4 linked regions of the Danio rerio genome follow. The protein of the gene in region 1 purifies or fractionates together with the protein of each later gene. This does not show direct contact. Links are inferred from orthologs where the notes say so. Each region holds a gene or a part of one and is shown in the gene's direction. Other genes may lie near its edges.

Region 1 (8,335 bases):
CGGCAAACATGCCATCAAAATGTTCCTTAGAATACTATAATGTTGAATACTTTACCAAATAACATCTGCTATGATGTGATAAATTATGTATATTTCTGTAAATATCTCATTTGCCATACTTATAAAGTGCTTAAATTCTACTTTGAAAGAGATGCAAGAACACTGATTGTAGCTGACTTGCTCAAAGTAGACTTTTACAAGCAGATTTTTCCTTCTCTCAGGTTCTTCACTGCGCTGGTCATGTTCGTGTGCACGAGGGCAGCGAGGCTTCAGAAGACTCTGGCTTTAAAGAGCCCCCTGTCACTTACCTTGTGCTCATCTGTGAGCCCATTCCTCATCCCTCGAACATCGAGGTGCCATTGGACAGCAAGACCTTCCTCAGCCGCCACACTCTGGACATGAAGTTCTCATACTGTGATGAAAGGTTAGCAGAGAGATGTGACTCCCTCATATTAGAAAATCCAATTTGGTGGTCGACACATTGGCACACAAACCTTTCTTTTTCTTCATTTTCTGAGGGTTTAAATTATTTAGCACAATTTAGTTTTCCTTTTTTCATTTTCATTGGGGTTTTGTTTGGATGTACAGGATGTACAGTGTTATCTGTGCTTGGCAACAAATGTTTTGCAAGCCTGAATCTTTTTGTTTACATCTCTTTGAATAAAAGCAATGCTGCAGAACCCGTTTAGTGTCAGCACAAAAGCCTGCGGTTTTAACTTTACTGGGTTGTTAGCACCACCTAGTGGCAGAAGCTATTAGTGTATTTTAAGGTTCTACTAATTATGAATAAACGTTTTCATGTATGTATGCAAGTATGGTAATAACTATTTACTAAATCTCAAACTAACCATAACCCTTAATACCTCTTTCTCAATTCGTCATATATTACTTGAAACTGATTTGATATTTGTCATAAATACTTTACATAATCAATAGTTAAATGTAATGAACAAATTAAGATGAATAAAAAATACTTTGCATACTCATTTGCTTATTAATATCTTATATGTAGTAGTTATCTATTAGTATTAGAATCTGTTTATGCTATTTAATGAACTTGAGCTCGCAGTGAACATTTATTTTATTATTAGCCTTTCAGTCGTTGTTAGTTACTGTTGATCATGAGTAACAGACAATTACTGATGGAAACTTACTGTAAAGTTTACCCTGTTAAATAAAGCCATTAAACATATTTCAAATAGAGTTTGGGAAAAGTCAAGTCAAGAAATTTATTTGCCATATGTACTAACCCCAGAAGACTTTAGTATGCTAAACTAATAAGAGCAGCCTGTAAACACAATACACGCAAGAACAAAAAAAAGAAAAACAGGTCAAATATGTAACAAAAATGATTGTTTTAAAAAAGATTTTTTTTCCGCTTACCACTAGGCTATTGGGCCGACACAAAAATGTAAACTTATTGCAGAGTTTATCCTAACAATAAAATATTAAAATCTTTATTTTTAAATAAACTTTGATACAGTACTCTGATGTTCAACTCCGTGCATTGCATTAGGGTAGATACAAGTCCTAGTTAAATATAATATGTGGTATATTGCAAGAACTTTAAAAGAGTTACAAAGCATAACAGAGAAGTGTCCTGTTTGAAACTGTTAATAACCCAATGACTTAATGGTTACAGGATTTGGCAAATGGGCAGTTTTTCAGCATGTGGCTACTAAATGCTTTGTACGCTCAATCTTCTCACTCTTTCCCAAAGGATCACTGAGCTGATGGGATATGAGCCAGATGACCTCTTGAACAGATCAGTCTACGAGTACTATCACGCCCTTGATTCAGATCACCTCACCAAGACACATCACAACCGTGAGTGAAGCTTATCAGTTCAATAAAGTTGTTTAGTTGTCTACCTGATCTTGATTCAAGTTTGACTTTAATGTAAAGCTGATACAGAAGGTGTCATGCGAATGCCTTTTAATTGGAAAGCCTTATGTCTCTGCAGTGTTTGCAAAGGGCCAGGCCACCACAGGCCAGTACCGCATGCTGGCTAAGAAAGGTGGTTTTGTGTGGGTTGAGACTCAGGCCACTGTAATCTACAACCCCAAGAATTCTCAGCCGCAATGCATTGTGTGCGTCAACTACGTTCTCAGGTATGGATTCTGTTTTAGAAACAAAATATTGTGAAGCTTTTTGTGCATATTCTTATAAGAACATTCACAGTGCTAAATTTTATTTTTCTGCTATACATATCACGATTTGTTGTATACTTCAACAGATGAAATGAATGACTGTATTTGGAAACAATCATTTTTAGAGGAGTGCATTTGTACAAAATATTCAATAAATCAGCCACAAGCATTGATAAATACAGTGGGGCACAACATTATGTTATTTCTATGAGTCAAACAGAATTCTGACGAAAATATAATAATCAAATCATGTAAAATATAGAAATACATTTGTCACAGGCCTTAAAAACATACAAATGTTAAACTTTTTGTACCTTTAAAGTTCAAATTAGCAATGACTTTACAAATCATGTATTTGAAAACTCCTGTGGTTCCTGGTCAACTATAATCCTAATTTGACATTGCAGGTCCTGCAATAGAACTATTGTGGATTCACTTGTGATATTGATTCTGAAATGATATATTGTGCGTTTCTATGTAAAATGTATGCATAAATGCTAATTAACTCATATTTTCAACTTTACTACTCTGTCTTATCCAGTGGCATTGTAGAGGGGGATGTAGTCCTGTCCTTGCAGCAGACCGTGACTGAGCCCAAGGCTGTTGAGAAAGAAAGTGAGGAGACTGAGGAAAAGACCTCTGAATTGGATATTCTCAAGCTCTTCAAGCCAGAAAGCCTCAATTGCTCATTGGAAAGCTCTACACTTTATAATAAGCTGAAAGAGGAGCCAGAGGCCCTCACTGTGTTGGCACCTGCAGCAGGCGACGCCATTATCTCTCTGGACTTCAACAACTCAGGTAATTCTTGCTGGATGGGTACATTTTTTCAGTAATTTGAGAGTAACTGGAAGCCACCTAAATTCATTCAGTTTCAATGAGAGCTTATTAAAAGATCCATGAGCAAAGATGCACATATCTTTTTATATATTCACATCTAGATTAGTCTTAAGGGACATTCCTGCAATGTTTATTAACACTTCTAGTCTATAGTTTTAATTTTTTACAGTTAAAGTGAACTCTGTGAAATTAGCCCCAATATTGATAAAGAAACCTTAAAATTTCTAACTGGTGGAATCAAGTTGTTTATACCCACTGTAGAATGGGTCAATCAAAGATGACACGCAGTTTTTTAGTACAATTATAGATACTCCCAGTATGTTTTTCACCTGTAGGAGTAGATCCTCCAATCTGTTGTCTTTGCAAAAGCACTTTATCTGTGAAGCATGTTCTCTCTCAACACAGTTTGTGTTGGCTTTAATTCTTTGAGACATTTTTTTATTTAGTTCCACTATGCTACTTTTGAATACATTTTTATCACTGTTAAACCGAATATGGTTTAAGAGATTTTAGCAATAAATGAAAAAATACTTAAGCTTTACTGCAGTCAGTTGATATTTTCTCGCCATGAAAATAACCAAAGAACCTGGCATGGCATTAAACATAAACAAACCTTTAAAGTGTAATTTGGGGGATGTATGAACAGGGATGTATGCTTTTAGAGTTTAACAGGATTCTTTGGAAGTCATTTCTAAGATGCAGATTTTCGCTCAAGAAATATTTATTGTAGTCATTGTTGAAAATTGTAATGTTTTAATGAGTAGAAAGTTCAAATGCACGTCTATTTAGAGAATAAATTTCTGTTGCAACGTAAGAGACTTCACTGACTATGTTTACATGGACATCAGTAATCGAATTATTTGCCTTAATCTACAATAATAAGATAAAGGCGTTTACATGAGTTGCTTTTTGAAAGTTTCTTTCATGATCACATTTTACATGTTATAGCACATACTTAGATTACCGTCATTGCGTCACCGCATTATCCGCATTTCCTCCGAAGTTTCATGTAATTTCGGGTGTTTTATTGTTAATTTGTCAACTTTAACTGCGGTTTGGCACTTTCACTTTCATTCGTGCATGCCCCCGATGACAAACGAGATGTTGGATGCAACTATGAACTGCTGGAAGAGTTGTTGTAATGGAAGTTCATACCGCATGCTGAATGGAAGAAAAAAATGTTTGTTTCTTTATTGAATGATGGAAACTAGTATCATTTGACTTAAACGGTATTTATTTTCCTACAATGTAAGTCAGTAGCTATGCTTCGATCCACCTATTTAAAAAAAAAAAAAAAAAAAACGATTGATGGAAACGCCACGATGCGCATACATTTTGAAAATGCGCATGAACTTATGCGCTTAACTGAGTAGGATAAACTTGTTATTCGATAAGAAAAGAAGTGTAAACTACGATGAAAACACTTTTACCGCACAAATTTCATTATGAGCATTAAAAATGGTCATGTGATTCTGTTATAAGAGATCATGTGATGAAAATGTTTGTAAATGGACAAACCAGCTGGCTGAGCACAATATAAAACAGCTGAAATGTTGTTTTGGTCATTCTAAATTGCCTTACCGTTTAAGTATTAGTGTTATTATATTATTAATGACCTCCAGAATCAAGAGCGTCTGTGCTTCGTGTCTCACACCTTCAAACGCCACTGCGCATTCATTGCGTGTCAGGATTGCCTTCTAAGGTGCAAATCATTTATTAGATGAAGAGAAGATTGACACAGCTTCTTCTACTCCAGCAAGTTCGTTTTTTTTTTTGGTTGATATTTGGTGCCAGTTAATCAGGAAATGACTATTTTGTTCGCTTTGATGGAAACGCTGCTTTATACACACATTTTATGCGATAATCTAGGTTTGTTACATAGCTAATGGCTACCAACTTCCTATACTCTGCTAAAGTCATCTTTTATGTTTAACAGAATTTTGCATTGAATTTGGATGTAATCTACTCATGTGAATACTTCAACTTGCAATTGGTGTGAACTCTGTATTACTGACCATAAACATTTCAAGAGTGTGTATCTTTAGAGCAGTGTTTCTCAACCACATTCCTGGTAGACCACCAGCTCTGCACATTTTCCCTGAGACTGAAAGGCCTATAATGGGTGTGACAGACAATGTAGATAACCAAAACATGCAGTGTTGGTGGTCCTCCAGGCACATAGTTGAGAAACACTGCTTTAGAGGATTAAATGCAATCCCCTGGCAGCTTTTTATCTTATGAAGACTAACAACTCTTGTCATTCACTAATCATCTGAGATTACAGGAAATGTGCTTTCATAATTTTACTGAAGTAAATCTAATATTAAATACACACAGTTCCTTGGTGGTCTACCAATAATAATTACCGGTATCCATTTCCCTCCAGATTCTGACATACAGCTGCTGAAGGAGGTGCCCCTCTACAATGATGTCATGCTGCCTTCCAGCAGTGAGAAGCTGCCACTCAGCCTATCTCCTCTCACACCCAGCGACTCCATCCCAGCTCTGACCAAACTAGAGACTGGAGGAGAGGACTTCCCTTTCAGCTCTGCCTCTGATCGTGTGCCAGACCCCACAAACACACCCTCCACATCTGGACTCGGCTCTTCGGGGGTAAACACTTATTAAACGCTTGCTATTCTTGGTCATTTAACAACAATTGCTCCCTTGTAATGGTTAATGAGATACTGTCACTGACTTTAGGTTGTTTTTTTTTGTCAATCTTAGCCCAACAGCCCCATGGATTACGGTTTCCCAGTGGAACCAGACATCAGTTCTGAATTTAAACTCGACCTGGTTGAGAAACTGTTTGCTATTGATACCGAAGCAAAGACACCTTTTTCCACCCAGGTAACTTTTTATTTAAGATTTTAACTACATATTGTTTGTCTCACTCTCTCCCAAAATCAAATTCTAATTCAAATGAGCTTTATTGGCATGACTTGTCAAGTATTGCTTATATATTGCAAATATGAATATATATACACATGTACATAAAACACAATTACAGATTTGATAAGTACATATGCAAATAAAAAAGACTAAGTTTTTTATTTTATATTATTACAAAGAAAACGAAAGAAAAATAAATTATAAAAAAAACAATATTATAATAAAACAATAAAATAAAATACACAACTTTGCAGTCATTAGATGGTTTGTAATCTCTCTTGCACATTTCTGTGACCTCTAGCCCATGGAGGATCTCGACCTAGAGATGCTGGCTCCTTACATCCCAATGGATGACGACTTCCAGCTGCGCATCCCATCTCCACTGGATCCGCTCCCATCTGCCACTCACTCTGTGTCAGCCATGAGCTCTTTATTCCAACCCTTACCCTCCTCGCCAGCATCTCCAGCCTCATCTACCAGCAGCACAGTGAAGCAGGAGGCGTCATCCCGGGCCCCTTCACCCCTACACCTGCTGCAGGAGGTGTGCAGTGCACCTGTCTCGCCCTTCAGTGGCAGTCGGGATGCCTCACCTGTTCGATCCAGCACCCCACAGAGCAGCAGTCAGCTCAACAACAGGTAAAGCTCTCACCGACACAAACCAATGCAATGTAGTCTGTCTGTGTTAGATCAGTTCTTTTTTGAAGGATCACATTAAGCTTTAAGATTAAGATTAAGCTTTAATAAGAGCAATTTATGAGATGTAGTTTGGTACAGTACTCATTTTGTTTCCTATATGGACACACACACACACAAAATAAATTTATAACTTCGACTTGTCAGTGTCATTTATGTACTGCTGCTCTCGAATGATTTGAAGTGCTTATGTCAGAAGTAAAAAAATAGCAAACCTTGCAGTAACACTGACTAACTAGTCTCTGGAAAAGATTTGTATTTGTAGGGCTTCATTTTAGCCAACATTTAGTAATTGCTTCCTAACAGGCAACTTATGAAATCTTCACACATTCAAACCCTCTGGAGTGCCACATATAAACCTTGTGAAAAATAATCAAAAAAAAAATATATATATATATATATTTATATATATATATTTATATATATATATATATATATATATATATATATATATATATATATATATATATATATATCATATATGAATAAAGATATACTATAATTTATTTATTAATTTACTTTATCGTTTTCCAGAGAACTTATTTTTTGCACAGGCGATTGATTCGTACATCTTTTTATATTAAAAGTTAAATTATCTAACTTTGTTACTATTTGTTACTCAATTTACAGAGAAATGTCTCCAAAGATGTTAGCCTTCCAAAATATCCAGCGTAAGAGGAAGCTAAACGAAGTGACGTCGCTTTCTGAAGCTGTTGGACTGGTCAGTATGAAGTTTTAAACAACAATTTATTTTTGTAAAGACAAATAAAACTGTGATGCAAAAAGTTACTGAATGAGTCCTGCATAGTTATGCCAGTCTGATGGTTTATCTGCTTCCTGCAGGGGGCTTTGCTTCACAGTGTGGACAGTGCTATAGACCCTGGAAAGAGAGCGAAGGTTTTAGAGGTGAAAGGGTCCAGTGTGCTCGGGGGAAACAAAACAATTCTCATACTGCCCTCTGGTGAGTGACTGGACTATTATCACTGATGCTTTTATTGATTTTTTTTTTGTGTGTAAAGTGATTTTCAAGTACATTCAAATGAAAAGTAGGGCTGAATAATATTTTGTTTGAGCATTGCTTTTGCAATGGATAAAAAGTACTAGATTACTTAATAAATATTCAAATGTAAAGATATTATTAAATATTATCGTATAAAATTATTTATACAATGATGACCATGTTATTTTACATTTGATTGTTCAATTTCTGTATTTGAACACTATTAGACTACTCAGAAAACCATAAAGCACTGTTTCTTAAACTGTTATCGTTGAACTGTTGTATTTATATATGCTTGTAATTTATTTAACTTTATGCAGATGCAGTGCATAGAAAAAGACTTGATTACCCTGGTCCATCTAAATGTACTTAATCCTTCTAAGTAGAGCTATTCAAATCGTCTGGTGAAATTATATTCCTATCACAGCAAAACAAAATCTCACATTTTCCTAATATTGTGCTGCACAAATGCAATCCTCGATAGTTTGGCTTGAAGCCATTTTAAAATGAATAAACTTTACAATTCTCAATCATTTCTTATAATTACCTTTTCAACTGGTAGGCCATGCTTGCCCCCTGGAATTGATTTACAAGGGGCAATTTTATAATTACACAATTACTACTTTCTGTCTTGTCTTTTATATTAAATGCTTAAATTTACCCACTTAAATCAGAAAGTATACTGTTAACTGGCATGGGAGTATTGAAATGAAATGTTAATTTATTATAAATCCCTTTGGGCTTACTGGTGAAGAACATGTCA
Region 2 (7,395 bases), on another chromosome or scaffold:
GTCCAGAGCATGCTTGTATTTTGGCACACAAACGATTAATTTTAGTTTTATAAATAGCAAGCTGATCAAATGCTTTTGATGTGGGGGGTCATTTTTTGTTGGAGATACTGTTGCCCTAAACAACTAAATAAAATAGTCATAAAAAAACATAAAATTGTATATATACCTGTATAGGAACAGAACATGTTAGTGGTTTTAAAGACTTGACTTTTTGACCAAACCACAGTAAACCTTGAAACCGGTTATTGTTCCATGCCTAATTCACACCAAGGTATAAACTGACCAAAAACAAATAAATAAATCAGGAACTAAAACATAAAAAATGCTACCTTTTGTAAAAAAAAAATGAAACAAATACGTTATAAATATGAGCCAAACAACAACCACATAATTTAGAAAATATAGCATTATTATTAAAATATTAATATTATATTATTTTAATAAAAAATAAAATAAAGCTAGTTTAAAACATTAATATAAACAAATTAAAAGGTAACAATTAACTGTGTGACTCATATGCAGTCAGTTTGAAACAAGTAAATAAAGACTGAGTTTACTATTCTGGGTAAGCCATACCTCTAATTTAATATCAGCTTGTTTGTCCATTATTATTTTTTTAAACAATTCATTCCCTTTTGTTGATCAAAGATTAGTAATGGCCTGTGCATGCGCTTTCATGCTTGTCCTGTAGATGAAGGAAGAACTAAAGCATACATTGATTGTTGATGATGATGATTGTGTGTGCTTGTGTGTGCAGATAAGAGAAGACTTGCGAGCCAATGAAATTGACATCTATCCTCAAAAGGAGTTTGATGAGGATGCAGAGGACAGAATGATTAATGAGAAGATCAGGGTATGTGTAGCTTTATATCATTCAATAACTCCTACTGTGGCGAGCATTTAAAAAAAAGTCAATGTTTATGTCTTACACTTAATAAAGAATTAGATTTTGTTTCTGTTCAGCTTTGTATTATTTCTAACAAAAAATGGAGTGGAGACTATTGAAGCTGTGTATCGATAGACTTTTTCTTCAGTGTTTCGGAAATAAAGATGACTGAATTGAATTTCAAGTGTTGCCTTTTTCATATTGAGCATTCTCCTTTCATGTATGTTTTAGGAGATGATCCCATTTGCTGTGGTGGGAAGTGATCAAGAATATCAGGTCAACGGAAAAAGACTTCTGGGCAGGAAAACAAGATGGGGAACAGTAGAAGGTTGTGCTTACATCTTTACACACACACTTCTTGTATTCACCACACTCACATTTGCACATCCTCTCTCTCAGTTCTTTCTTTGTTGTTGGGTTAGTGTCCTGTGTTCCTCTTCTTGGTTTAAAAATAAACATGCTTTTGTTTAGGGAAAGTATGTCCAAACTTTGGGATCTGTAAGATCTTTAAGAAGAAGCTGATCCTACTTACCAAGGCTGCATGTTCTGTATTTTATCAGAAATACAGTAATAAATATCATGAACAATTGTAAAAATATTTGTTGTTTTAAATTTTGTTATGTATTTAATTTTGATACAGTTGAATTTTTAGCTATCCTGTGAAATTTGTAATCTTTTTAAAAATATGGCCCAAATGATTTTAACAGACCAAGAGAATGTTTACAGTGTCACAGCATATATACATATAAATGTGTAGCATGGTCGCCAAAGAGCAAGAAGGTTGCTGGTTTGAATTCACACTGTTGTATTTTTGAAAAGTCTTATTTCTTTTGTTTGGCAGGAATAAATGCAATTTTTAATCAGTTTTAGGACAATATTATTATCCATCTTTACATTATTTTTAGTTTTTCTTTGTTTTATTGTCTACACTGTTTTCCTATAGCTTGCCTTACTTGCTTATATTGTAATTAAGAGTTTAAATTGCACTTTAGGCTAAATATTAGTATCTTCCAACAATAACTAGTAAAATATTATGTACTGTCATCATTGCAAAAACAAATGAGTAAATGCATGTAATAACTGTCTTATTAAAATGGATTTGTGTGGTACATATACATAAGAATGGTGTTCAGATTCACAAGCATTTTTATTGGAGGAGACCAATACCTCTGGTGTCGATTGTAAGTTGAGGAAGGTTCAATGAGCAATGAGTAATAAAATAATTTGATTAATAATAAGGCAAAAGATGTGACATACTGTAGCTTACATGATTAGTATGTGTTGAGTAAGAAATGTAAACAACAAAACAGAAAACAGTGCTTCAGTTAATATTCTGTATTTATTCTGTAATTTTAAATTCATTAATTGCTTTCAGTCTCATTCCAACATAATCTCACATTCAAGTCATCATTACCCTTGAGTTAGATGACAGAAAACAATATTCATTCCATTTTCAGGCATGCATAGTTGTATTTTTAAGTAGAACTAATCAACAATACCAAATTTTTTTCAACAAAACCAAGATTTTATTGTTTACCACTTACTAATTTCATTACTTCATTTGTGTACAAGCATTTTTGATCATTTCCTAGTGTCCTATTTTTAATGATATTAAAATATTTTGCTGCTCATTCTTTTTTGTTGTATTTTATAAAACACTACCATCTAGTGGCAAAAGGATGCTACTACAACTCAAGCAATAGTATTACATGCTGGCTCTCTAAAAGCTCAGTATTCTGATTCTTTGGCTTGCAATGCTAACTTCTTGCTAAACAAACAAAACAAAACACAAACAGACCGGTATTCACAACATTTTTGTATCTGTCATCCAATAAATGCAAAAATAAAAGGATAATTACAGGAAGTGGGAATGCATTTATTCTAGCTTACAAATCAGGTGATATTTATAAGTGAACTACTCTCTAAAACACTTCAAAAAATCTTCTTTTAAATTATTATTTTAATATATTTGATCGTTTTTTTCTTTTTTTCTTTCAGTTGAGAACACCACACATTGCGAGTTTGCTTACTTGCGGGACCTTCTCATCAGGTACTCAACAATTCAACAACTAATTTCTTTGTCAATGATTATATGCTTAAAATTCCATTACTCGTACTGGTAATTAACACTATAATGGCTGCACATTATGAATCATTTATTAAGCATTAGCTGACAGTTCATCATTAGTTAAGCATTAACTCTACATTATAAGACTTTACCAAGCAGTTTAAAAAAACAGCTAAAAATGCTGTATTTTTTACTTATAAGTAGGTCCACATGGAATGTGCGTGTGCAGAAATACAGATTTAAACAGAATTTAAGACCATCACTGAGTCTATTTATTTACTTGTGTAAATGTGTGTTTATTATATTTATATTATTGACTAATGTAAAAATGTTCATTCAATTTATTTACAATGCAGTTCTAAAGTAAATAAATAAAATAAAAAGTAAACAAAGTAATATTTCCTTTTTATAGTAGATATATTATATAAGAGACTTCTTTACTAATTAAGTAGATCTAATTTAATTTGCATTGTAAACATTAAATACAAGTTAAAAGGTATATTTTGTTATTTTATATATATTAATTTAAGGTTTTACATTCATTTAGCAAAAATCCACATTTTTTTTACACAATTCTACGCAGAAATAGCAAAAAGTGTCGGCAGATTCAGTCTGACTCTACTTATAAGCACAAGTATAATGTACTTAATAATTGTACTTTCATATTTTGATTCTGACTGATTTTTAGTACTATATTAAGTATTGAATGATTTAAAAACTATTTGTATTTATGAGTAGTTGGTGGATTTTAAGATTAGTAAACGATTAATAAAATATTCAAATCAAAATGTATATTGTTCAAAATCTATGTATTATTCATGCATATTGTAATGGTTACTATGTATGTTAATAAATGCTTTATTACCACATTTATTAAAGTGATAACTATTTATACTTTTTAAATCACTTATAAACGAAAATAAAAGGTACCATATTGAATGAAAAATAAATATTTGCCTTCGTATCTAAAAAAAAATGACTGTACAATTGTACATTACTGTAAACAGCCAAATAAAAAATATAAACTTTTTTATCAGAAGAACAATAAAATAATATAATAATATAACAGTATAACACTATTAATTTCAGTGTTAATTAGTGATGTTTAAACTTTACAGTAATTTTATATTTAGATAAGATTTGCAAAGATTTATTTTGCATATTAGAGTTTTATTTGTGTATACTTATAAAGCATAAATTACAAAACTGCATGATGTTGTGTTAATAAAGCATTTATTGACATGCAGGGTAGCCATATGCCTAAATAGGGTATAACAATTTTTATTTGAATATTGCTAATCATAAACAAATTCTTTCTGATAAACTCATTTCCCACTATAAATATGCTTCTACATCAATAATACAGCATTTGTTGTTGAATTTATAAACTGCTTCGTAATGTCTTATAATGTAAAGTTAATGCCTAACAAACGTTAATCATACAATAATTAATTTAGTAATGAAAAATTATTCATTATGAAAGTATGTATGTACAATCATTAAAAACATTAAACATGTACAAGTCAATAATACAGCATTTGTAACGGTATTAATGAACTGCTTGCTAATGTCTTATAATGTAGTGTTAACAAATTATGAATCAAGTTAGCAATTTACTAGTAAAAATCTTTCAAGGTCCCTTTTTCTTTGTGTTTTCCCATTTCTAGGACTCACATGCAGAATATTAAAGATATTACAAGCAGCATCCATTACGAGATGTACCGCGTTCGCAGACTCAATGAGAATAACACCAAACCAAATGGACAACCAGCAATCCACACCAATGGTGTACCTGAGCATGAAGTTCTCTCCCATGAGATGTAAATGTCTCTAACTATATTTCAATACATCAGTCCGTCCATCTATCTATTTCTCTTCCTCAGTTCACTGTACTTTTTTCCATCTGCCCGTTTGTAATCTTTGACTGTTCTTTTATAACATCAAAAATTTCTGAGGATTTTTTTCTTTAGGTGTGTAGCAAAATGTAATGTTCTGTGATGAGAGTTTTATTATAGTGTTTTTATGGTAATTGTTAAGTGAGCTGGAGCAATGGCTTGTCAAGTTTAACATGCCATGATACTCAGCGTTGGATCGATCACCCAAAAAAATTATTATTATTATTATTTTATCTGTTAAACACAAAACAAAATGTTATGAAATGTACTGTTTGTTGTTGTTCTTTCCTATTGTGAAAGTCAGTGGTTACAGGTTTCCAAGATATTCAAAATAAAAAATCTAAATCCAGGGTGAGTAAAAGATAGTAAAACAGAATTGCCATTTTGGGTGAACTATCAATTTAAAGCTCTCACACATAATTATTACAGATAACACAGATGGTTTTGTGTTAAAACTGCAACTTGACAAAGAAAATGTAGCTGTTGCTTGTAGAATTGAGAAAACTTACAGTGTAAAATCCACCACCCCTATCAAGTTTTAGAGCATTTGAAATTTTCGAGTTGTCCAAATGTAAAGAGCAGGACTTTGGTTTACAGTATGTAGTCGCATGACAGGATGTATGATCCCGATTATGAGTGTTATATGGAAAAACATGAAAGTGTTGAAATATATGAAAGTGTTGTATAAATACCATTTAAACAGAGTGCAGACAGTTTGGTTTTACAATCTCCCTTTTCTGTAATAAATCAATCTTGTGGTGTATTATTACCCATTCTATAATTTCTGTCCTTGTTCCATTTTCAAAGAGCATATTTTATTTTATTATTAAGTGTCAATTTTTTGTAAAAGCCTATGTATGTGGAATCCATAGTTTTTTATTATTATTTGAAGAAAAGCAAACTTAGTTTAATTTGTGAACATTTATATATTTATAAATGGCATCATGTTACTTGGATGTTGTGGCTTTTGTAGGTAAAATGTAAAGAGTTCTAGAATTACCACAGTGACCCAAGCATCTGTACATCTGTGTTTTTCTCCATTCGTTTCTTTGCAGATATTAGTATTCAGTAAAGCAAGTCCTGAGCCATTCTAATCACTATCTGTGTTCTGTAATAGGCTGTATACAGTATGACCTTTATTTGTTTATATAGTGTTTCATGTTGTCACTGATTCTGAACAGTTTTGGATATTTTAGCCCCTCACAAAAGTTCATGGAGGATTTTGCATTATATAAAACAGAAAAAAGTCATGGATACACATTTATAAACAATTTGTGCAAATTAAGTGTCCAAAACTTGCATCAATGATCAATTAACAATATAGGCTAGCAGTAAATTGGCTGATTGAAATGATTGCTTAGCAATCATAATGTGTCCAGTATACATGCTGACATTTTTTATTATATAAGAAAATAAAATTTGGACACAATTTAGATTTTAGCCCATTTGCTTGCATAGTTTAATCTTACTTGGTTGTACATCTTATGCAGTTTTAACCTGATTTTAAAGATTCTTCTCTCAGGTTCCTATATTGATATGACTGTCAAAAAATACAATGTGTCAATGTGTATTTTGCAGCTGATATTAATGAAAATCTGTTACCAAGTTTCAAACAAACTAATATTCACATAATACTATTCAGCCAGTATTTTATGAAATGACATATGTATGCCCAGTATGGCCAAAGAAATTATATGTACACATTTTAAATAATTATTTTGTGAATATTGTACACCCATTGTATTTTGATGTAGTAAAGGTAAAATTTATATTACTGTAGATCTGGAAAAAAAAAATAAAGATTGCTATTTTTATTGTTGTAACCTTTGCATATGATTCTTTCTTAGTCTTAATAAAGATTTAAATGAACAAATATATTGTCTATAATATTATTATTTAATTTACAGTTTATTTAATTAAAACACAATTTACATTATTTAGGAGTATCACAAAATTAATATTAAAATGGGCAAGATTCTTCTCCTTCTTCTTATTTCAATGACTTTTATAAGGGTCCATTGACAAAATCACATTATGCCCAATTTTGACACATCATAGCGCCAAGTGTAAATTTTGTAGAAAACCCTAGCAATGCCTTAGCAATTGGCTGGCAACAGCTTTAGTGACCACTAAGAACACCCTAGCAATTCCCAAGTAATGACTTAGCAACTGCCTAGCAACCATTCAGAACACAGCCTAGCAACCACTTTGCAACACCCTAGCAACCACTTAGCAACACCTTAGCATGCACATAGTAACCACTCAAAGCACCCTAACAACCAACTAGCAACCTCCTAGCAGCATGTGAGAACACCCCAGCAACCACCTAACAACACCTTTGCAACCATCCTAAAATCAGATGGACAACATTGAGCAGACCTTCGACAAGTTCACAACATCCTGAGTGAGAACATACCTCGCAAGAGGTTATATGTTGTACCCCTGGGTTGCTAGAATGTCTCAAAGTACTCCTTCGGGAGGGGAACTTCAATACTATGTGGAAAACCAAAATGCTATGTTGAAAACTTCCACTATGGGGATTTTGT
Region 3 (8,335 bases), on another chromosome or scaffold:
CAGCATGAAATGAAAATGTAACTGCTTACAAAACAAATGCAAAAAATGTAACCTATTACTGTTGACCTAACTAACTTTTAAAAAAAGTGACGTGTGCAGGACTTCTCCAATCATGTAGTCTCCTTTAACACTCTCAATCTAAATTTGTGTACAATGTTCCAAATAAAGAAAAATGCCCTTCAAAGGGCAAAGAGCACTTCAGAATAAGAACAATCATGGTCACCATTTTGCAGGATCTTTTAAAACTGTAGTGGTCAGTAATGGCCACTTGAAAGGGCCCTAGAAAGAAAGCTCTGATGGGTTGTTTCTCAATATGCGATTTTGCGTCCTCGTGTAACTTTATCATCAACTGCCAAAGGTCAGTTCCAAAACTCAAGAACAGAGGGCGCGTGAAAGTTCACTAATGTGTTCTTGATATCGAGGACGCGTCAATGCAGACTTGTGCACTAAACTTGCTTGAGAAGTCACAGAAGTCATTGTGGCTGAATAAAGGAGGTAAGAAGCGCAGCATTTTTTTTATTAAAGTTCGGAGAGATAACTTATTTATCTAAGGAATTTCTCTAAATTAGTCGGTGACTAAACCTCACCATGAAAATCTTAATAAAAGCATAAACACATTTAGGGTGTTTATTTGCTGAGATTTGTATTAAAGTTAGTTTTATTTGTATTGTGCAATGTGTATTTGTAGGGCTTTCATGCATAGTATTTATTATGAAAAGGGTAAAAACAATAAATCGTTGTATAAATGCTGTATTGTTTAAATCGTTATCCATTAAAAACGCGTGAAGGTCATGTGACCAACAGGAAGAACCAGGGAAGACTGCAGCATCTCATTTTTCAGAGCACAGGTTCTCTGTTCTCCCAATCTCCTGAATTCGTTCTTCCGAGGTAACTTGGCTAGACCAGTCTCCACAAGAATGCAAGTCTGTTCTCTGCGTTCTTGGAATTTAGAAACAGCCAGGATTTATTTTTATTAAGTTGTCATTCACATTGATTTATATTTATTTATTTATTTTTTGGTCACCTCTTCTACAAAATCCCATAGGGATGAAGCTGTTCAGAATGGAACGCAGACCAAAGCATACTTTAATTTTGGAGAGCAACACCTATGTTTTTAACACAATTAAATGGTGCATAGTCTTGGTCCCTCCCCTACATTTTTATTAAACGATAAGGCCATAGAGCACCCAAAAATAAAAAATGCATTTACTCTGCCTCAAGTGGTTCCAAACTTTTGAGTTTCTTTTTTCTCTCAAACCAAAAAAATATATATTATAATAAATGTTGGAAACTGGTAACCATTGACTTCCATAGGATATTTTTCCTGCTTTGGATATCAACTCTTACTAGTTTCTAACATTTCTCAAAATATCTTCTTTTTCAAAAGAAAAAAGAAACTCCATCTGAAAAGTCAATGGTGCATAAACGATGTCAAAATTTTCTGTTTTGGGTGAACTGAATCCTTTTAATTTGTGTTCTGCAACGACTTGTTTGGTTTTCATTGAGATTTTTCCATCTGATTTCATAACATCTTTTGTACATCGTTTTTATGGAAGTGTTTGCTTATATTAAATGAACAAACTCAAGTTACCAAGTAAGAGAACAGCAAAGTTAAAGCAGATAAATATGTGTGTGGCAGCTACTATTTTGTTTGTATTACTTGTATTTTGATACGAAGCAGTGAAATATGATATTCTTTGTTTTGATATGCTTTCTCACAACACATCCAATAACGACTATGCCTTTTGTGGCTGTTCAAATGATCAACTACTTGAATCTACACTATGAAAAAATATAATCTAATGGATTTTCTATTTGATCAAATGTTGACAAGCTCAAAACATTATATATACACACATATATTTAGTGTTCTCCACTTGCAAAAACACATCTTAATACCAGGTATAAACAAGGCCTCAGATGTACGTCACAGTATGGTTGTAAAGATGTCTCTCTACTTGTGTTTTATCACAAGTTTAATCACGCAGACTCATTAGTGGTGTTGTGAAAGCCACCAATAATACTATGCAGTCGCCAAGCTGCATGCTAAATCCAAACAGTAGGCTCATTAAACGAATCCTAAAGCATGCCTCTAAAGCTTTCTGTCTCCCTCTTTCTCATTAGAGCACTTTAGCTGAGTCATCTGATATCCCAGTTTGGCTCATTGCCACCAAGGGCCATAATGGAGTGGTGGGAATGGTGAACTGCCTCAGACAGGAGCCTGGAGGCAACCGTATACGGTCCGTCCACTTATTTTCCACATACCGTGAACTACTGTAATGCTATATTTGTGAAACAAGACTTAAACATTTGACTTGAGCGTTGTTTAATATTTACTGCAAATGTGCATGTGTGTATATATAAATAGTATTCATGTAAATGTTTTTTTTTTCTCCTTTCTCAATAGGTGTACATTTGTTTCTAATTTAAGTAAGGGTGCTGCTGTTCCCTCCCTTCTTCCTAATGAAAAGGTCATGAAGGCATTATTAAAGAAGGACCTGGTTATGAATGTGCACCGGGATGGACTCTGGGGTGTTTTTAGACACCAGTTGTTAACACAAGGTAAAATGAAAAGACTTTCAGTGGCTTATTTAAAGATTGTGTATTTTATGTACATTTAATTAACATGTACGTATTAAAACATATAAAATAATAAGGTTATTATATTAAATATTATTATACTTTAAATGATTAAAATGTGTAGAACATTATTTTTTTAAGTTGTATACACTCACCGGCCACTTTATTAGGTACACCTGTCCAACTGCTCGTTAATGCAAATTTCTAATCAGCCAATCACATAGCTGCAACTCAATGCATTTAGGCATGTAGACATGGTCAAGACGATCTGCTGCTGTTTAAACGAAGCATCAGAATGGGGAAGAAAGGTGATTTAAGTGACTTTGAACATGGCAGGGGGATTGGTGCCAAACGGGCTGAAGTATTTCAGTGCTGATCTTCTGGGATTTTCATGCACAACCATCTCTAGGGTTTACAGAGAATGGTCCAAAAAAGACAAGCCAGAGGTCAGATGAAAATGGCCAGACTGGTTCAAGCTGATAGAAAGGCAACAGTAACTCAAATAACCACTAGTTACAACCGAAGTATGCAGAAGAGCATCTCTAAACGCACAACATGTCCAACCCTGAGGTCGATGGGCTACAGTAGCAGAAGACCAAACCGGAATCCACTCCTGTCAGCTAAGAAGAGAAAACTAAAGGGACAATTCGCACAGGCCGACCATAATTGGACAATAGATGATTGGAAAAACGTTTCCTGGTCTGAGTCTCAATTTCTGCTGCATTCAGATGGTAGGATTAGAATTTGACATCAATAACATGAAAGAATGGATGCATCCTAATGCTATCATGTCAATATGGAAGGTAAAATGGGGTCCACGCCAATACTAGTAAGCTGTACCTAATAAAGTGATCAGTTAGTGTATTTGAATTATTTGGAATATAGTTTTTGTCCCATCATATTAAAAAGGACTATTGTAATCGTATTATTATCTGGAAAATAAACAGTGATTTTTAACCCTTTTTTCTGATCGGTTTTATTTGACCTTTTTTTTTTCCCTTTTCCCTTTTTTTCCTCTCTTGTTTTGTTTAGATTTTTTTGAGTGTCTTTTGAAGATGTATTGTTATGTCTGTATTATTGTGAAAATTATATAAACATAATTATACATTTAAAAAATTGTTAGAACTTGGAAAACTTTTACCAACAATTTGCATGTATCTCTACATTGAAACTTTTGACTCTAAATTGTGTGATATGATTATTTTCTGTACTGTGCATTCACGTTTAGATCTCAGCGAGGAGTTGACGGAGCAGGCTTACGTGAACGTCCTGACTCGTGGTGACCTCTCATCTCTGCGCTGGATCGCTTCCCCACTGCGTCATTTTGTCGCGTCCAGTCCCAACGTGCAGCTCTGCCGCGTTTACTACTCCTCCCTCAACTTCAGAGACATCATGCTGGCCACTGGCAAACTGCCTCCAGATGCCATCCCTGGTTTGTACCCCATCCTTTTTGGGCTATAAGTGAGAGCTTGTACGTTAGCTTTACCTTAATGGATTAATGGTTTTATCCACGTCACCTTTTTTTAAGGTGAAAAAAGGTTTTATCCATACCTCAGTTTCTCATCAAATCATAACCAATAAAATGCTCTCTACTGTCTGACATGCCCCGCCCCCTTCAAGACGCTTTTAATTTGCTTTTCATTTGATGCACTTGACCTCAACCACTCTAACTGGCAAATTGGTGATAAAACAAAACGCTATTGGCCGTTTTTTAAAAAGGGAGGAGCTACACTATGTCCCACCTTCTCTTTGTGTTTCTGTTAAGTTTGCGTTAAACCTCAAATAAAAATTCATATTTCAAAGCACTTCATGGTATATTTAAAGAAACTTTATGTTTCTACCAATGCAGGAGACGTAGCGCTGCAGCAGTGCATGCTGGGAATGGAGTTTTCAGGGCGAGACCCCAGTGGGCGACGTGTAATGGGTTTGCTGCCAGCTAAAGGCCTTGCCACCTGTGTGGATGCAGACAAACGCTTCCTTTGGGACGTTCCATCCAGCTGGTGAGGCAATCTGGAATTCTAAAAGCTTATTTTATTTAGGTTCAAAATGTCTTGATGTCTAAGTGAAGCTCTGTTTTTGTGCAGGACATTGGAGCAGGCTGCCTCTGTGCCAGTGGTGTATGCCACCGCATATTATTCCCTGGTGGTGCGAGGCCGGCTGAGGCCTGGAGAAAGTGTGCTGATCCATTCAGGCTCTGGAGGAGTGGGACAGGCCGCAATTGCTATTGCACTTAGCATGCGCTGTCGAGTCTTCACAACTGTGGGTGAGTGGGACACTTCTAGTTTAAATGTTTAACAATGAACATTATAGCGTGATTATTAGAGTCCTGTTGTGGTTTATACATTTCTTGTAGTGCATAATGATCTTTTGGGGCCATAAAAATGTCTTTACAGTAAAATTAATATAAGTTACAGTAGAAAACACAGAGAGTTCATGCTTGAGGGAAGATGAGATGTCAGCAGTGTGAGAGTTTTTCATCTGCATAAGGCTTGAAGCTTACGCTGCTATTCTGAACCAATAATCGAGAACAGAAAGCAGTTGAAGGATTGTGTGTTTAAATCGATTATTTATCTGACTCCATTGTAATTAGTCTGGCTCCATTAAAGTTGTTATCATCATTGATAAAGAGAAAGGATCTCAACGCCCTAAAGCAGGCAAAGTTGTTTATTAAGTTACATGTTTAAATGCACAGACAGTAGAATGAAACAAACTAACATGCTGTATGGAGAATTTAGCTGTAACATATGCACTGCTGAGCAACAAAGACAGTGAAACTGCCTTTGTTAGCATATGAGGCTACACATCGGTGTGCGGGAGACGCAGAGGAAAAGCCATTCTCCCAGATCAACATTTACCTTTCCTTTTTATACCCTGAGCAAAGCATTGTCAAACATGAGTGAAAACTAACCCCCAAAACCAGTTGAACATGAGAGCAAAGTTGAGGAGATAAAATGGGGGAGAAGTACTTTAATATACTCTCCTCAGGCCATGACTCAACTATTTTGAATATATTGTATATTGAAATACAAATAATCAACCTCTCTGTTAATTTCATCACTACACCGCTTAAATCATAAACTGTCAAATGACTCCAAACATGAAGAAGTTATATGAAGGAAGATCACAAGCAGATTAATTGTGTCTAGTGAAAAGCACATCATTACTGTAAGCAAATGGCAGATTTGTATTTTGTATTAGAGCTGTGATGCACACTGCCACACCAGGAGGACCCATCCCCTGCTTGGAATGTCTCAGTAGTCCTTCATTTGCATAGAAGGAATAGTATATAATAATCTCTCAGCTTACACCTTTAAAAAAAAGTAGATTTTAAAAGTGCAATTTGTAATGATTTTGGTAAGGAAAAGATCTAGATGACCTTCTAGGTCCTTGCTATCTGCATTTATAGTTCAAATAATCCCTTCCAAATCCCTTCCAATGCATTTATTTCTAATTTGTGTTTGTAATCAGGCCCAGAAAAATGTATATATAAAGTTGATGATACCTATTTGTATTGTATTTACTGGCTTATATATTGGTTAACTGTATCAGCCAAAAGTTGCACATATGTCCATTGGGACCCTGGTTGGATCTCTTTTCTAATTCCAAATGAAAATATTTGTCTCAATTTAATTTCCAGGCTCTAAAGAGAAGAAGCAGTATCTGCAGGAAAGATTCCCACAACTTACAGCTGAATCTTTTGCCAACTCCAGGGATTCTTCATTTGAGCAGCACGTAATGCTCAACACTCAGGGCAAAGGTGAACTGACTGTATGACAATGACTCCGAATACAGAACAGCCTTGTTGTGGATTGAAATATTAATCAACTGTTTGTAAATGTGTCTTCAGGAGTAGACTTGGTACTAAACTCTCTTGCTGAAGAAAAGCTGCAGGCCAGCTTGCGTTGTTTGGCTAGACATGGCCGTTTTCTGGAGATTGGCAAATATGATCTTTCCAACAACACACCACTAGGTAGAGGAATCAATCAACGATCTTCTTCAGTCTATTATTTGTACTTTTCCACCTCACTATTTAAAAATGCAATGATCCAATCGCTTCCACTTCAGGTATGGCTCTGTTCCTAAAGAACGTGGCTTTCCATGGGATCCTGCTTGATGCTTTGTTTGAAGAAGGGAACAGGGAATGGGAAGAGGTGTCTGATCTGCTGAAGAAGGGAATCTCCAGTGGAGTTGTTCAGCCGTTGCGTACCACAGTCTTTGAGAGAAACCAAGTGGAGGAAGCTTTCCGCTACATGGCTCAAGGCAAACACATCGGAAAAGTGCTGCTACAGGTAAAGATGGTAAACGTTCATGAGTGTGCCTATAAAACGAGAAATGAGATGTTGGATGTTAAGATTTTTATTTTTTTTTTGACTTTGTAACCTCTCAGGTGCGTTCAGAGGAGTCAAGCAGCTCTGGTCCTGCAGTGTCTGCTCTCTCTATCCCTGCAATCTGCCGAACTTTCTGTCCCGCTTCTCTATCGTACATCATCACTGGAGGCCTGGGTGGCTTCGGGCTGGAACTGGCCCAGTGGCTCACAGAGAGAGGAGCTCGTAAACTGGTGCTGACGTCACGGTCTGGCATCCGCAACGGTAAACATACACTGGAGATTGACCAGTTTTCATGACGGTGTGGGTTAGTGATAGTTAGCTAAAACTTTAGATACTTAAAATTTTATTTTACTTCAAAAACTGAGTTAAAGGTGAAATTAAATATAAATATTAGATGGAAAAAAAACTTTTCAATTAGTTCATGAAGCAACAATTTTGAGTACAGCAGTTACTTAAACTAAAATGAAATAACTTTGTTAAATAACCATATATATAAGCATAAATACATATAGAAAAAGAAAAAATATATACAATATATTATGACATAGATCCAACATCACTTTTTATTTAACTACTGTCCTGTCACAAAGGCCAAAGACACCAAAAATAAATCTAATATATGTATAATAATATATTAATGATACATAATTAAACAATAATTAAAGATAAATAAATAAAAAAATTAATTAATATTAATAAAAATAAAATTGTCACAAAATTATTAAAACTTAAAATTAAAAAATTAAAACTAACAATAAGCAAAATAAAAATTACCACTATATTGATAGAATGTGAATAATACAATAGCACTGATTAGGGTAACACTTTGGTGTTTTGTTTGAAGGTTATCAGGCCAAGCGTGTTCGTGAGTGGCAGGCCATGGGCATCCAGGTCCTCGTGTCCACCAGTGATGTCAGCACCCTGGATGGCACAGAACGGCTCATCACTGAGGCCTGCCGCTTGGGTCCAGTTGGCGGCATCTTCCACCTGGCCATGGTAACATACAGTTATTGCTATTAGTTTACATTCATTTAGTCAATAGACAGACAGTGCACTTGTGACATTTCCATCTGTAATATAGGTCCTTAAAGATGGTATGCTGGAGAATCTGACCCCACAGGAGTTCATTGAAGTCAACAGACCGAAATATGATGGAACCATCAATCTCGACAGGTGAGATGACACATCCTATTGTGGATGATGATCAATTTTAGAACATTGAAGGTAAAACTTTTTGTAATTTTGTAATAATGTTGAGTGTTTGAGTGTATTTTAGTAGATTATAAATCTTTTTTTATGATTCCAGGCAGCGTTTTTATGCAAAAAATGTATGATTATGTTTTTGATTATATATTATATTATATTATATTATATTATATTACTTTATATTATATTATATTATATTATATTATATTATATTATATTAT
Region 4 (9,070 bases), on another chromosome or scaffold:
ATTTGTAACAATGGCTAATCTGAAAACTCCCTATATTGATGTTATATGAATTACTTTTAATATACATTACTTAGAAAAGTCAAGCCTAAAATTAAGTTTACTTGCATCAACTTCTAAAGAGATATAAAAAAGTAACATTTTACATGCTGCAATGTTCACTAATAGTTGTACATTAGGGATGCAACGATTCCCTATTGAAAAAAAAGTATTGTCCTATTGTTCTCCCACGTTTTGGTGCGCCCTGTGATTCACGGCTCAGAAGATGCATTTTTTAATATTAGTTTGTTAGTAGAAACAACTGCAACAAGGCAGTTTCCCCCCCTTTGTATGCTTTTGATTATCTTTCACGCTTACTCTAACGTTGATATTCTCGTCGAAGACCTAACATTCACATCTCGTTTCGGTGTGTGTGGAGTTTCTGTGGGTTTCAGCATGGCAAGTGAAGATACAGCACAAAGATGCAGGTAAGGCCAAATCACAGAGCATTGCTGTCAGTGTCAACAGACACAAAAACATAAATGCCATTTTTTTGCTGTTGTTGCAGCGATAGCCTAGATCAGTTGTCACCAACAGGTGGATCAAGGTCCGTGTCAGGACCCAGAAGCGTCCCATAAGGGCTCGGACAGTTACTTCAGTCCCGCTCTTTCTGAGTGTTCTTCCGCACCAATCAACCCCGCTATTCACTCTTTTTACCCGCTGTCTGCTAAGTTTTCTTCTCGACTGACTGTTCCCCCTGAATTAGGAGAGAAGAGCCCAACACTCTCTCTGCTTTAGTTTCATTCACTACGATGGTGCTAGTAAGTGTAAAGGAGCCCTCTGGAATCATAATAAATTCATTAAGAAATCATAAATAAAAATGTGTTGTTGTCTTAGAAATGCAAGCATCATGTAAACAGAAGTAATCAATACTTTAAAAGTGCCCAATTACGAATATGTGTTGACAATTATTAGCATAATTGGTTGAGACTGTTGAGTGGAGATGTAAAATAGAAAAATTAAAGCTTTCTCTATTTTCTTAGCAGTTTATTTGAACATACAATTTTCAAAATGCCCTACTTTTATTTAATGCAAGAACATGCAAATCTAAGGTCATGTGTGTAAAGCTATTGCATTGTCAGGTGTTTGTTCATCAATAAATATGTTTATTGTTCTTTGAATTGTTCTGTAGTCATTTTTTTCTAAGCATAGCACAAACCATACCATACAGAAACCGTGATTATATTGATTTGTTGCACCCCTAGTGTACAATGTACAACTTGTCAATGGGGAGCATGTAAAAATAATTCACAGAAGTTGACACTTATACAATCTTCATAGAGATTAAAGCATTGTTGACACCAAATGAAACGCCATACATTGTCCAAAATTACCTGAAAATAAAACATGACTATATCGATAAAGTAATATATATAAAAAAATAATAATTTAATATTATATGTGTCAAAGGTCTTAAAGCATGTTTGGTTCCTTATTTATAAACTATATTATCAAAAATTCGACTTAAACATCATCAAATCAAGGACATTTCTGAGACAAGGCAACATTAAATATAATATTACACATTTCTACTGTAAAACTCACACTTTGTTGGCTTTTTCCGGCGTCTCAAACTCCTTCCACAGGCTGTCCACCTGCTGGAGCTTCTGTTCATCCAGGACCTGGACAACAGAAAAAGCTGTTGATTAAAGTGCACAGACACCATCTAAATACTAGACTTACTTAAAGCCTTCAAGCGGTCGACACTAAGCATTGAGGTAAAGTTGGTTTTATATTCGCAGTCATTCATTTAATATTCCCTATATTGTTTATCATGGTACTTTGAGTGTTGGGTCTGAAATCGCATTGAAGTATGCCTTAAAGCAACATAAGCACCAATTAATCGACTGTGAACAATGTTATACGTTGATAAGCCATTGACTACTAATATAATTTTACCAATCAGAATTTGTAAATGATACTTTTCTGAACTTAATTTAAGGAGAATGTGCGAAAGTGAAAATATAAAACCAACTTTAACGTTACCTCTAACGTTATACGCTGAGCGACCATGTGGAAACATGAGCTATAGTGGCGAGGTGCATTTAAACAGTAAATATCTTCATAAGATTTAATTAAATATGTAAATACATTTGTTGCATCTGTTTTGCAACTACTAAATTATATTTTATCATCTTGACTACTTTAAAAACAGTCCAAACTCGACTAACAGTGAGTGTAGAAAAAGCGCTGAAGACACAACGTGGCTGTGCTGCAGAGCAGGCCACATGAGACCCGCTTTACCCTCATTGACACACCGCACTGGGGAAAAACGAGTGAGCTACAAAATTACATATGTACTAACAGCATTTGCATTAATAAAAATCCTTAGATTGTACGTTTTGTCTTTTTGAAAGTCTCGGACAGCACTGCTAACTTCGCCGGCTAGCTAAGTGTAACCGTAAAAGCTACACAACTGCAAGAAAACGGCTACAAATACATTTAATTAACACAAAAAAATGAGCTTACCTTAAAAATGGCATAGCCGGCGGCAGTTTCAAATAACACTAACATTTTTGAAACAGCTTTTCTTGCTCTGAATAAAGTTTAAGGTCGAGCTCCCGAGACCGAGAGCCTTCCGCTACAAGAAGTCGCTCTCTCCACGAGGCGCACATGGGACAGGACGAGCATGCGCAATACTGCCAGTGAAATGTGCGCATGTGCAGTAGTCTCAGCCTCATTTTCATGCACCATCACCTCGTGTTGATTTTCAGTTTTCGAGTTTTATATTCAAAGTGTGTAGAGACAATATTTTGGATAATGTCATATTCCAAATAATGAGGATGATGATGATGATGATGATGATGATGATGATGATGATGATGATGATGATGATGATGATAATAATAATATACTAAACAAAAGTTTTGTAAAAAAAAAAGATATTTAAATGTTTTAGACAAAAAGATGAATAAACAATTATAATATGAAATATTATTTCAATTTTAAATATCTGTATTGTTGTATGTAAATATGTTTAATATTCCAATGAGAGTTCAGAATTTGTTATGGTCAATTTTACTTGGTGCTCTATGATTAATAATAATTCTGCTTGATATTTCTGTTAAATACACAATACATTCAGCTTTCTAAAATTCTCAGAAGAAACTGTATTTGAAATAAAATGTTCAGTAACATTATACAGATTTTTTATATTACCTTTGATCCACTGAATTAGTCTTAATGTCTTTTTTAAAATCTATGGCATTAAAAGTTATAAATACATAAAATAAACGATTTATTGTTTTATTTATGCAGGAATTTGCGAATTTATTAACTAATTGATTTTTTATTTGCATATTAATTTATTGTTTTATTTATTTATTGCTTTATTTATTTACTTTATTTATTCATTGCTTTTTATTTTTTATCTTTTTAATTTGTGTATTTATTTTGTACATTTGTTTATTTATTTAGCATGTTTATTTATTGTTTTATTTATGCAGGAATTTGTCTATTTATTTATTAATTTATTTGTGTATTTATTTATTTATTGTTTTATTTATGCAAGAATTTGTATTTATTTATTTTTTGTGTATTTATTTATTTATTGTTTTATTTACACAGGGATTTGAGTATTTATTCATTTATTCGTGTAGTTATTTATTAATTATTTTATTTATGTAGGAACTTGTGTATATATTTAGTCATTTATTTATTTATTTATTTGCGTATTTATTTACTGTTTTATTTATGAAGGAATTTGTACATGTGTTAATTAATTTATTTATTTGCGTATTTATTTATTTGTTGCTTTTGCAGGTTTCGTCCTCCAGAGGTGTAGTGTAGTTGTCACATTATTTTTGCACTCTAATATTTCGTGACCAAAATACTGATGTGTTTTTTTTTTTTTTTTTTTTGCAAAATACGGGCCTCCCTATGTTTTACCAATAGCAACATCGCAGATGGCGATTGGAGCCAATCAGAAAGAGCGTGGTGAGAAAAACAACGCTCGTTGGGTCATCGACCCAGTGTCATAGAAAGTCCAGCCCCTTTCCAATGACGTCAACGGCGCTGTGTTGTGGGTCTGCTGGTAGCACTATCAAAACCTCTCATTACTGTACATAACACTGTATCGTTTAAATCAAACAATCTTGATCTACAGAAGGGCTGCACATTGCGGAATATCATGTCAGACACGGTGAGTCTAAACCTGTGATGCTGAATCGAACTTTCATGAGAGCAGACGAGAAAGACGGACTTATAGAAAATGAAAATAAGAGGGCCCAGCTTTTAGCCTGTCTAGCTGACTGTGGTTTGGAAAGTATTTTTGATAAAAATGCTTGAGTGTTTTTAACTGTGCATAGTTTCTGGTTCTCGCAATTTACACATTAGTCCAATTTACTGTGTTCACAAATGCCAAAAATATGTGAATTTCTTCCTCAAATCGTCCAATTAGCATGTGTGCTAGTTAGCTGCTCTGGGCCCTGAAAGCAGAGTTCATAATATCTTGAGCTGATAGACCATGCTGAACATTTGAATTAGTTATTAATTGTTGATTTTTTGATATGTTCATTAGGATTATTCGTTATTTGTTCACGTTAGTTTGTGTTCGGTTTGTGCTCGTATTAACAGCTCGCGATAGAAGAGTAACGTTAGGTTGTGTGTTTACATTCAAAGCACACACACACACACACACAGCCTAGTGTTTAAATGATAACAACACTCACAATATTATTTTATATATAATATATATATATATATATATATATATATATATATATATATATATATATATATATATATATAATTATAATTTATTAAAATCGGATCTACCTTATTTTATACGATCTTCAGTCAATATTTTATTGAATTCAGTCCCAAGATATTTTTTTAATTCATTACATTAAATCTGATAAAAAAACAATATGACATGCAGTAATCGAATGCTTGTTTTGTTTTAATAGGAGACCAAGCCCTCAAGTGATGGAGGCGAGAAGAAGGATGGAGAGTACATTAAACTCAAAGTGATCGGTCAGGTGAGCAAAAGCACTTGTTTTCTAGGAAATGCAGGTTTTCATATTTAAACCCATTACTGTTTAAAACCAATCCAGCTGTTCTTTTATAATGAGATATATGAAAAGATCTGAACAGATTTGATGATTTCCTTTCATTTCGCAGGACAACAGTGAAATTCACTTTAAAGTGAAGATGACGACACATTTAAAGAAGCTGAAGGAATCCTACAGTCAGAGACAGGTGAGTCAGTTTTTCCATTTATGAGGGATAACGATAAATCTACACTACCATTCAGAGGTTTTGGGGGGTGGGTAGGATTTTTAAAAAACGCACTAATGCTACTTTTATTCAATCAAAAATGCATAAAATCTGTATTATTGTGAGTATTGTTACAAATAGAAATACACTAACACTGTAAAAATCTTAACTGTGATCAAATTAATGCGTCATTGCCGAAACAAAAAACAATGTTTAAATAGTTGTGTATGTTTCAGTTAAGGTTCCTGAGGTCTCATTTATAAAACATTGCATAGAAACTTTCCTAAAAGTGAATGTACACCAGAATACATTTTTATTTATTTATTAATTATTATGGCTTTTATGATGATTTAAAGTGCTTGAATTAAGTCAATATTTAAGCGAAATGTGTTTACTTAAAGCTGCGCACATTCTCCCGTCAAGTTTGTTTTTTATAGATCATAATAACCTGTATAAGAAGTGGCGTACACGTGTTTCCACCCCCAATTTTGTGTATACCATGTTTATAAATGAGACCCCTGGACAGTTTATTCTCTCTTTCAGATCAATTATTTGAACCATGTTAGTTAAAACATAAAACGTCTGTAATGATCATCTAAAGGGGGTGGAGTAACAATTTATTAAGAGGAAATTCACATTAATAGATGCTTTTAGTTTTGGTACAGAAAATATTGTTACACACAGGATATATATATATATTTTTACCCATTATGAGTTTTGGTAATAAACATTTAGTTTGCTTGCCTCGGCTTTTCTTTATCTCTGCTTTCTTAAATGAAACGCAACGACACAAGTATTTACTTTCTTTTACAAATATTATTGACAATATTCCATATCATACTCTCTGCTATTATAAATAAAACATAAACCCATTATATAATGACATGCAATCTAATTCTGAAATATATATATATATATATATATATATATATATATATATATGTATATGGTCAAAGATGTAAAAAATATATTTATATTTATCTGTTGCTTATAAAGTTACATGTTTCAGAAATTACATTTTACAAAAGTATATTTTTGTATTTAAATAAATTACTATTACAGTTTTATAAACACTCAAACCACTGCAGAAATGTTGCATATATCATATACACTAAAAAAAAAGACTTTTGCGGCTTGTTCAAAGTACTTATATATAATTAGCTGAAACTTGTGTTCTTGAGGACAACTTAATTGTTTTAAGTTAAGCCCACTTAAATTTATGAAAAAAAATTAAGTTTAATCAATTTATGATGGGCCATGTAAAAGAAATGTGTGGACCATAGCATTTTTACAGTATATTAGAGATCAATTTTCTATACAAGTTAAAATCATTACCTTAAATGTTTGTTTTAACAGTTGCTGGAAGTGTGTAAACAGGTTTTTGATTGTAAATGTAGCTTTCTTCACGAGTCACTGCTGCGTTTAAAATGGCATAAATGTTATGGGAGTGCACTATGGAGATAGCACAGTTGTCAATTTGAAGTTTATAAACTGAACTGTAATAAGAATAACTTTAATATAAAATGTGAACAAGACAACCTTTAATGTTTTTAAATGATTCAGAGTATTTGTGTTCAAATGGACAAGGGCATAGGGTGGATGATTCAGAATAGAACACAGCCTGGAACTCTGCATCTAACTACAGCTCTAGAGGTGTAGCTCCAACCAACCAAGTGTGTGATGCTGTTTGTGAATGTTTGCTATAAGATGTATGGATGTATATTTGGAATAACACTGAATTGCTGAACTATTTTTGTAATGAAGGAAATTGTGATCTTAGTTGGTTGGCGATGGTTTTGTGAACAGCACCATTATTCTAGAAAATGCACAAAGACAATATCAGAATTTGCTTTAAACAAAACGATTTGAGAAGTTTAGAACAACTGAATGAATTCAAGTCTTGTATTTTCATTACACACCGCTGTTTGTCATTTTTAAAAGTGTGTATTTTTAATGTAAAAATGTTCAGCTCCACATTACTCTGATTAGAAACTGATAACGAGAGTGTGCGATCGTTTACATCTGACTTTACTTTGCTGTTTTATATTTGTTCCATATCTAAAGATTGATTACAGTGTGTTGGAGGTGAATGTATTTAGTCTTTAAGTTTATTCTCATTCATTTACTCTTTATTTACTGTTTTTTTTAAGAAAACCAATTCAACCAAATCATACAGTGTGGTATAGATCAGTACGGTGTGGGTAACCTTTATCAGGCTTGTGTCTCCACTGCCAAATGGTACCCTTTTAGTAGTAGGCATGGAGGCAGAAAGTTGCAGTCTACATCATGTCACTCAACTAAAAGTAAAGCCATATGGGTCGTTCACATATCATATGAGAAGCACTTCTCACAAAACAGGTGCTTTATTGACCTTATTCTCCGCAGACGAGTGGGCGCTGCCATTTGAATCTTTTTTGGCACGAGACTTCCGGTCTCATTCACTTCCATTCATTTTTAGACATTAAAAACTGCTCGTTTCGCTGTTTGATGTTGCAAACTGATATTTCCTTGTTATTTTATTCTACTTGGTCTGTGTAGTCATGCAAACATTTGTTTGTAGAGCAAGTAGTTTGACCGTTTTTTGCCGTTTATAATTCCTTGTCATTTCTCCCATAGGCGACTGAAACGGAAGTTCTAAGACAATCGTGAAATCAGGCGCACTTCCGCATTTTAGAATAAGGTCAATACACATAAATACTTATGTAAAAAAATGTAATTACTAACCTTTCTATGAACTTTTAACATCCGCAATAAAATGCAATGTGAACATATACAGATCCTTACAGTCTCCATTACAAATTTACAAAAAAATTACCCAAAATGTACATTTAGGCCTTATTTGAGTAAAAAAAAAACAACAATACAAAACATAGTCAGTGCAACCCTCTCATTTGTTTCTTTATTCCTTACCAGCACATGTAACTCTTGTTAATTCTGTCATTCCGAGTTCATTATAGTCTAAAAGGTGTTGATCATAATTAAACATCCCAGTTTATTTGTGTTTTGGGTCGCTGAAAGAATCATTTGCTTGTTTGTTTGTCATTTGCTGTTTTTTGTTAGCGTTACTCTGGGGTCTGTCCATTTCTGAAAGACTGTAAGAATCCGTACGTTATCAGCATGAGCTCAAGTTGATTATTTATACTTATTCATTATTACATACTTATTAGGTATAAGTTAATTATTACTTCCCAAAACGTGGTATGGTATTGTACGATTTGCTTTTTGCTATCTTTTGACAATGAAACGGACAAAGAAGCATACCGAACCGTACCTTATACTAAACCGTACCGCTCAGTGGAAACAGACCAACATGTGAGGGTGGATCTGCACTCAAAATGCACACGTGACTGTATTATGTACTAAATGTATTACTTAAAATTATGTCAAGTTATGTGGGTGACAGTTTGGATGGTGTGATGATAATGCCCCATAATAAATCATTTTATCTGTAAATTTATAGTGGTAAATAGTGACTGTTATTTTATAACGTTAGCAGTCAGTGCTAGTTTAAAAGCCTATCAAGCGTAAGCCTGTATTTAAGTAGTAGTCTGTATTTTCAGTTCGTGCAAAGTGACACGCATCAAACTTGTCTGAAAAAATCTGGAATTTTGAAATGGGAAATGTGTAACCCCTGAGCTCTGCAGTAGACATGAACATATGCTGCCATACGTTCAGGCATCATAAGTGAAGTTAATTTCAGATGTTTCTATTTTGACATTGTGTTTTATTTGTTGCAGGGTGTACCCGTGAACTCTCTAAGGTTTCTCTTTGAGGGACAGAGAATCACAGACAACCTGACCCCCAAAGAGGTACAAGC

What was found.
Region 2: the proteins of hif1ab (region 1) and septin9b purify together in Homo sapiens (affinity purification with western blotting; 4 studies listed by BioGRID and IntAct, with this or other methods). This does not show direct contact. The link is inferred for Danio rerio from reciprocal best matches to the Homo sapiens genes HIF1A and SEPTIN9.
Region 3: the proteins of hif1ab (region 1) and fasn purify together in Homo sapiens (affinity purification with western blotting; 3 studies listed by BioGRID and IntAct, with this or other methods). This does not show direct contact. The link is inferred for Danio rerio from reciprocal best matches to the Homo sapiens genes HIF1A and FASN.
Region 4: the proteins of hif1ab (region 1) and sumo1 purify together in Homo sapiens (co-immunoprecipitation; 3 studies listed by BioGRID and IntAct, with this or other methods). This does not show direct contact. The link is inferred for Danio rerio from reciprocal best matches to the Homo sapiens genes HIF1A and SUMO1.

What each region holds. Positions count from the first base shown.
Region 1 is NC_133195.1:22,871,465-22,879,799, reverse strand, and holds part of hif1ab (hypoxia inducible factor 1 subunit alpha b), read left to right. Parts: intron 1-221; coding exon 222-424; intron 425-1,720; coding exon 1,721-1,827; intron 1,828-1,963; coding exon 1,964-2,111; intron 2,112-2,691; coding exon 2,692-2,948; intron 2,949-5,373; coding exon 5,374-5,600; intron 5,601-5,714; coding exon 5,715-5,837; intron 5,838-6,180; coding exon 6,181-6,515; intron 6,516-7,202; coding exon 7,203-7,293; intron 7,294-7,415; coding exon 7,416-7,533; intron 7,534-8,335.
Region 2 is NC_133181.1:24,957,240-24,964,634, reverse strand, and holds the end of septin9b (septin 9b), read left to right. Parts: intron 1-757; coding exon 758-853; intron 854-1,117; coding exon 1,118-1,214; intron 1,215-2,884; coding exon 2,885-2,936; intron 2,937-4,621; coding exon 4,622-4,778; 3' UTR 4,779-5,210; downstream 5,211-7,395.
Region 3 is NC_133187.1:35,340,983-35,349,317, forward strand, and holds part of fasn (fatty acid synthase), read left to right. Parts: intron 1-2,124; coding exon 2,125-2,240; intron 2,241-2,407; coding exon 2,408-2,562; intron 2,563-3,808; coding exon 3,809-4,012; intron 4,013-4,429; coding exon 4,430-4,580; intron 4,581-4,664; coding exon 4,665-4,843; intron 4,844-6,217; coding exon 6,218-6,337; intron 6,338-6,427; coding exon 6,428-6,550; intron 6,551-6,645; coding exon 6,646-6,869; intron 6,870-6,967; coding exon 6,968-7,169; intron 7,170-7,752; coding exon 7,753-7,904; intron 7,905-7,989; coding exon 7,990-8,081; intron 8,082-8,335. UniProt on the Homo sapiens protein: Fatty acid synthetase is a multifunctional enzyme that catalyzes the de novo biosynthesis of long-chain saturated fatty acids starting from acetyl-CoA and malonyl-CoA in the presence of NADPH.
Region 4 is NC_133181.1:10,600,552-10,609,621, forward strand, and holds the start of sumo1 (small ubiquitin-related modifier 1), read left to right. Parts: upstream 1-4,063; 5' UTR 4,064-4,165; coding exon 4,166-4,177; intron 4,178-4,943; coding exon 4,944-5,015; intron 5,016-5,157; coding exon 5,158-5,235; intron 5,236-8,990; coding exon 8,991-9,062; intron 9,063-9,070. Other genes in the region: nop58 (nucleolar protein 58), read right to left, coding at 1,582-1,658, 2,506-2,550. UniProt on the Homo sapiens protein: Ubiquitin-like protein that can be covalently attached to proteins as a monomer or a lysine-linked polymer.